Bombyx mori: one gene and its partner. The main gene of each other region encodes a partner of the protein of the gene in region 2 in a complex. Links are inferred from orthologs where the notes say so. Each region holds a gene or a part of one and is shown on either strand. Other genes may lie near its edges. The genes, in order: peptidyl-prolyl cis-trans isomerase H and thioredoxin-like protein 4A.

The links.
Region 1: thioredoxin-like protein 4A (region 2) and peptidyl-prolyl cis-trans isomerase H share a complex: the UniProt entries of both Homo sapiens proteins name them as parts of the U4/U6-U5 tri-snRNP complex. The link is inferred for Bombyx mori from reciprocal best matches to the Homo sapiens genes TXNL4A and PPIH.

Annotation. Positions count from the first base shown.
Region 1 is NC_085116.1:6,471,851-6,475,102, forward strand, and holds peptidyl-prolyl cis-trans isomerase H, read left to right. Parts: upstream 1-1,623; 5' UTR 1,624-1,963; coding exon 1,964-2,047; intron 2,048-2,136; coding exon 2,137-2,313; intron 2,314-2,395; coding exon 2,396-2,689; 3' UTR 2,690-2,707; downstream 2,708-3,252. Other genes in the region: coenzyme Q-binding protein COQ10 homolog A, mitochondrial, read right to left, coding at 2,877-3,252. UniProt on the Homo sapiens protein: PPIase that catalyzes the cis-trans isomerization of proline imidic peptide bonds in oligopeptides and may therefore assist protein folding. Participates in pre-mRNA splicing.
Region 2 is NC_085120.1:13,294,476-13,298,415, forward strand, and holds thioredoxin-like protein 4A, read right to left. Parts: upstream 2,581-3,940; 5' UTR 1,771-2,580; coding exon 1,693-1,770; intron 1,402-1,692; coding exon 1,265-1,401; intron 606-1,264; coding exon 392-605; 3' UTR 182-391; downstream 1-181. UniProt on the Homo sapiens protein: Plays a role in pre-mRNA splicing as component of the U5 snRNP and U4/U6-U5 tri-snRNP complexes that are involved in spliceosome assembly, and as component of the precatalytic spliceosome (spliceosome B complex).

The DNA of each region.
Region 1 (3,252 bases), on a different chromosome or scaffold from region 2:
ACTGGGTTACCTGGTTTTGTTTGACCCAGGACGGAGATCGGACGTCGGATGTAAGAGTGCAGGGGAGACGTTTAATGGGTGGGGCCCTAAAATTCCTTGGGCCCGCGGTCGGCTCCCAACACCTTGCAGATCGTCAAGTCCCACATACCCCGTGCGCCCCCTAGGCACGGGACCTCGTAGGAGGTTCGGCCCCCGCCCGAAAATTATAATAATAATAATAAATGGTTAGGAATTGGACTTGGAAAAAATGAATGACTAAATATTAGAATCAGAAGGAGATTATTGTATGTCTGTATTTTAAACTATACTGATAACTATATAGATGTATATTTTGGAACTTTGCAATATTTATACTCTATTTATTATAATACTATATTTATATAATTAAACTTTATACTTTAAATTTCAAATATTTCATAATCAGACATAATTAAAATGATTACATAAAGTAACTAAGTTTTTTTGAAATCTAGATTAATTAACATAAAAAAGTAAACGAAATGAAACCGACCCAAAGTTTTAAGTTACACTGTGGTGGTTGTTGGCATTCACTTTGTAAGTATTCGTTCCGATGAAAACTTAATATCAGCCAAACATAAAACAATAAATAAATAAAACTGCAATAATATGTATACTTTTTTATCTATTCACTTGAATCGAAAATGAACATTCATCACATCCAATTATTACACTAGATTGCACAAAATTACTTTTATTAAGCACATACACCCCACCACATCTACAATCGTATAAATACACATTTTCATCACTGTCAAACACCATTTCAGACAGTCTTACTGTTTCATAAAGCAATAGATCACTATTTTCATGGCAACTTAATGTAGCATCATACTGTTTCCTGGTGCTAGGTTCTCTTAAAACTGACCAAGCTTTTTGTAATAGGCGAAACTTATTATCAGAATCATCAGTTTTATTTTTATCGGGATGTAATGTCAAAGCGAGTCGCTGATAACTTTTCTTCAATTCTTCAAGGCTTGCTGTTCTATCGCAATCTAGTATTTGATAATAATCAATAGGTAGGTCATTACTTTCCATATTTAATAAAAACTCGTAAAAGAGTTTTATTTATAAAAAATAGTTTACCTCTCTTTAATTCAATTGCTGTTCCCACTTCCCAGTCTTTGATTAGAATTTTTTTGTATTTTATTTATGGCCTGGCCCAGTCTTTGATTGATTGTTTGAAATTCATTCTTTATTGTATTATCTATAATTTGTTCATTGGACGGGCAAAAGGAGATAGACCATACAAATTTCAATACTCTTGTCACAAAACTGTAACCTTTAAATAAATATAAATATAATATATATAAATTTAAATGTATGTTAGGTAAGGGGAATAATGGAATTAAATTAATTGCTCATGGGATAAAATTTAAGGAAGTGAATTAAGAAAGACATCACCGTAGGTATTTGTTAGATAATAAATAAGGTTCCATTAAAACTTATAAGATAGGTATGGCGTTCAAATCTGAAGAAACGCACAATTTACGAAATACAATAATTTACACGACTTTGTCCTTCCCCGAAAAAAAGTCCCGCCCAATATACAATTGTTGACGAATAATACCATAGTCGTCTGTGATCACGAATACTTTATGTAGTTATTCTAAGCGTTAGAAATAATTGAAATTAAACGGTTAGGATAGTTTTATTATTATCTACGATTCGCCGAAATAGAAGAAACTGCTATAATCTTAAAATGTAACAAATTCGCTAAACGTGAAGTTTTGTCCTTTGAAGTCACCAGAAATTCCGTTTTTAGATCTGGACAAATAGGCTTGTAAGCTACCTAATGTCAAGGAAAGGATGTCAAAAGTATAACCTCAAAATTTGACAGCCGGGTAACAATAAACATCAAACAAACTAAAACTTATAGAAGTTTTAAATTGTTAACACAAATGTAATGTTGTTTTAGTAAAAATTTCAATATTAACACATTGAAATGCCTACTTGGAACCAAATACAGTCACAACTTAGGAATCCTAACAATCCAGTAGTGTTTTTCGACATTACTGTAGGAACAACGGTAAATACCTCCCCGAACTTATTGTTTTTTATTAGATTTAAAAGAACACACAAAAATTTATGTTTATAAAATATTTATGTTTATTTTAGGAAATAGGTCGTATGATATTCGAGTTATTCGCCGACGTAGTACCAAAAACTAGTGAGAACTTCAGAGAATTTTGTACCGGTGAATACAGGCGGGATGGTGTGCCCTTAGGTTACAAAGGAGCTACTTTTCACAGAGTAATAAAAGATTTTATGATTCAGGGTGGCGATTTCGTAAATGTACGTATTAAGTTTTGTTTATGATAAAACGATGCCTAACTGAACATGATGGAAGTTTATTAATATTTACTATTCATTTTAGGGAGACGGTACAGGCGTTATGAGCATATATGGTGGAAGCACTTTTGCAGATGAAAACTTTGGTTTGAAACATGACTCTCCAGGGTTATTGTCCATGGCAAATAGTGGTAAAGACACGAATGGCTGTCAGTTCTTTATCACATGTGCAAAATGTAATTTCTTAGACAATAAGCATGTAGTATTTGGTAGAGTTATAGATGGATTACTTGTCATGAGGAAAATAGAAAATGTACCAACAGGACCAAATAATAAACCTAAAATACCAGTAACAATATCTCAATGTGGACAAATGTAAATAAAACTTCACTTTAAATTTTATCTTTTTATTATCATTAAATCACAATGGCTCTGCCTCACATTTCTAACAGACTAATAGATAAAATATAATATTCACAAATTTTTACATAAAGTAATCACAATAAATACTCAATAATTATGTACACTGAATTGAACTAATTTTTTTGGTTTGCAATTAGTAAGCGTCAAGTTTTCAAAGTGTGATTGTTTATTAGTAACTTTCTAGGCTGCATTGTTGCCGGCCCATTGCGCCTTCCGACTTCTTTAATGAAAGCACCTTCCATTTGTCGAGCAACTTGGTCAAAAAACAAATTAGATAAATGTGAATGTATAGCTGATCTAAATTCGAATGTTATCTGGAAGTCCACAACACACGACTGCTGTTCTCTTTTTAGACCAGGACTGAATCTCCAAAGGGTCAACATATGGTGGAAGAGTCTTCCATCAGAACACTCTGCTTTTACCAAATGTGGTTTGACTAGCGTAACATTTGAAGTGTAGCTTTCATTGATAGGAGGAAAGCCAATGATCAAGTCCGCCTTCAGGTTTCCTGGTGTTTCT
Region 2 (3,940 bases):
CAAGGTGTGTGGCGCATTTACGTCGTAGATGTCTATGACCTCCAGTAACCACTTAACACCAGGTGGGCTGTGAGCTCGTCCACACATCTAAGCAATAAAAAATAAAAATAAAGTATTTTTGATAATGGTTTTTTTTTTTTTCAATGATGAAGATATTGCAACACAAAAAAAAGGATCTACATCAGCATAAAACTTGTCATTTATTCTACTTTTACTTTGTTTAATATCAGGAAGAACAGCATAATTCCAAAAACACATGAGTTATAATGTAATATGTATAGTTCTTATTTTTATATAAAAAAAGTTACATTACTAAATTTATGATGACTATGATGTCAGATATGATTACAAATTACTAGACCATTCAGGTGGAACATTATTTTAAATTAAACTAATATCTGTATTTGGTAGAGTAATCTTTCGGTGAGACAACAAGACCTCGTCCTTTTCTTGCCCCTCTGTACACAGTTTCAATAATATCAATCATCTCCTGCTTGTCTTCGAGAGGCCAGTTGATTTTATTGTTGTTGCCAGTCCCCAAGTCAATCATTATGTGTTTGTTGCGGAAGAAGAACATCACTGTGCATGGATCGTATAATTCATACCTAGAAATAAGTTTAAATAATATTATTATAGGCCTTGCTTAGTCATTTTATATACTAGACCCTTTCTACTAGACTAGAACTTTCAACCTTTTTTACTTAATGATGTATTAACATACTCTATATATACATGACACCCTTAAATGCAAAGATTTATAGTTGGGAGTGATGGTTGTTGGTATTTACATCACTCATATGTAATACTGTTGTATGGTTAATATTTAATAAACAATTGTATATTTAACCAACATGTATCCCTGAGATGCAATTTCCCAGATCACCTTAAATAAAAATTGAAATATCGTATTTCTAATTTTCACAACACACTTGACTTGCAACATTCCAGTGATCAAGAACTGCTGTTCTACTCTAGTCTTAAAATCAACAATTTGAAAAAAATTATTAACAATGTAGATAATGAAATTCATTTACTGTATGAACCAGACTTATTAAGAATTCCTAGAAAACTCATAGTTCTTTGCTTCTTCACTTATGATACTTTTTTAATAATTAATAAAACAACAAATTTAATAATACAACATAATTTCCTTAAAACACTGGAGGTAGGAGGACTTGTGTATTCCACAAAGGTTTTAAGAAAACCTATCAAAATCTTAATTTCAGAAATAAATTTAGAACAAGTAGTTTTACGGTATACTTACATTTTATTAAAATCTGGAACTTCTGTAATGTCAACTAAATATATGACAGCAAAATTTTTTACTTTTTCCGCAATGCTGTATAATACTTCATCCATTTTCATACATGTTGGGTCCCAGTCGTGTCCAAACCTTATAACCTAGATATGTAAATTAGAATTAATTACATTTAATATAGTTGAATCATAGGGCAAGACAATTAGGCCACTAATTAAATAACTATTAACTGTTTTGGCTCAAAGCATTTTGTTAGTTCCTTTAATTCAAAATCTATTGTTTTTTATACTAGAAGGTTGAAGGTCTTGGTTTCTACTGCATTTATATACTTTAACAAATACCTATTGATGTAAGGTTAGAATATAATTATTATTTTTAGTCTTCAGATACTAAATCTCAGATTTCTACATTCTATGAATCTAGTTAAAACTCACCACTACACGGTCTTCTTCTGATAGAATGGCCTGATCTACTTGCCAACCATTGTGTAGATGTCCTAGCATATAACTCATTTTGCAAATAAACTACTTTACGTATTATTTCAAACAAACGATTATTCCTGTATTCTTTTTTCTGGAAATTGCTATTGCTATGAGCAAAATATAATCGTGTTGTAGGACCACTGAACAAATATTGATATTATTTTGCTCACTGAAATTTGCCTTTCACATCTAAGACATTCCAAAGTTATTTTATTCTCACATTTTGTTTCTCGTCACTGTTCACGTTTTCTATAGAAGTGTGTTCAAAAAGTTTAGAGCAGGCGTTGTCTTTTTTGTTACTTCATAACAAAAAGAATGTTCTGTGAAATAGAGAACTTTAAATTTATAATTATTTAATAATATGTAGGTATTAAGATATGACTATTCTATGAGTAAATTTACAAACACTGACTTTTACCAGGTCATAAAATACCTTAAAAAAAATCACAGACCACAGTATGACGTATGACAGTAGCAGTTCCATTTTCCAACAAGAAAGGCGGAGGTATCAGTCCATACAGCGTAATCTTTCATGGAATTATTCTGTTATTTATATCAATTTAATATGAAGTTAATAATGATATGGATGAAATGAGGTGAAGTTTATTTATTTGAGGCTTTAATGTTAATCATATATTTTATCGTTACAACTCTTATAGGTACAACAAGGTATTTAAATTAAATTATATAGGTATAGGATATAGGTTATAGGATTTAAATTAAATAAAATTAATAATTTTGTGCAGCGACCGGCGCGGCGCGTGCGCGTTATTCAATTTTTCTTTATCGACCCTCCGTATTTTTACGAATCCTGCGAGGCGTCGCGGCGTCGGTCGCACGGCGTTGTTCGACACTTTAGGGTTCCGCTTAGCGTGCGGGTGTTGTAACGTAATGTTACAACTGAAATCGTCTGCAAAATAAAAAAAGAAAATAAAAAAAACCTTAAAACAAAAGTATTTATGTTCAAAGCAGTTATTTTATCGATTGTACCGCTGAGGTGACAACAATAGTTCCCACCTCCCCCCGAGACGTAGGTTCGGCTGGCGCAGACACTGCGCAGCCGCTGCGCCGGCAGTCGTCACTAGAATCGACATCAACCCCACGAAAAGCACAGCGGTGCTCTTCAAAAGGGGTCGCCCTCCGAACACCACGCTGAGCATCCCCCTCCCGACTAGGCGCGTCAACACCTCCGCCCCCGCCATTCGCCCAATCACGATGTTCGACCAGCCCATACCGTGGGCCCCGAAGGTCAAATATTTAGGCGTCACCCTCGACAGTAGGATGACATTCCGCCCTCACATCAAGACGGTACGCGACCGTGCCGCCTTCATTCTAGGACGTCTCTACCCGATGATATGTAGGCGAAGTAAAATGTCCCTTAGAAATAAGGTGACACTCTACAAAATTTGCATACGCCCCGTCATGACCTATGCAAGTGTAGTGTTCGCTCACGCGGCCCGCACTCACTTAAAATCGTTCCACATTATTCAATCCCGTTTTTGCAGGATAGCCGTCGGAGCCCCGTGGTTCGTCAGGAACGTCGACCTCCATGACGACCTGGACTTAGAGTCCATCAGTAAGTATCTACAGTCGGCGTCGATGCGCCACTTCGATAAAGCGGCACGACACGAGAACCCTCTCATCGTGGCCGCCGGTAACTACATTCCCGATCCTGCGGACAGAATGGAAAGCAGTCGACGTCGCCCAAAACACGTCATCTCGGATCCTCCCGATCCACTAACGGTGCTTCTAGGTACTTCAAGTACCGGTCACCGTTCTCGTCGAACCCGTCGCTTGCGACGAAGGGCTCGACGAGTAAATTAACTCTCAGACACAGCCCACTGAGTTTCTCGCCGGATCTTCTCAGTGGGTCGCGTTTCCGATCCGGTGGTAGATTCTGCGAAGCACGGGTCTTGCTAGGGTTCGTGTTAGCAACGTCATCAGGTTTGAGCCCCGCGAGCTCAACTACAAAAGTTAGGGTTACGCTGAAATAGCCTCTCAAGGCTCTCAGCGTAGGTAGAAAAAAAAAGTGTGTGTGTCCGCTCCGACGCACGACTGGAGTTTACTGGATATAAATATAAATTTGTGTCAGTTGAATACAGTAAAATATGGAAGTTACGTATTCTAGTGAGAATGATCCGGGAGTTGCGGAACACGTGGATGCGGTAATTAAGTAAGTCTATATAATTCACTTTTACAA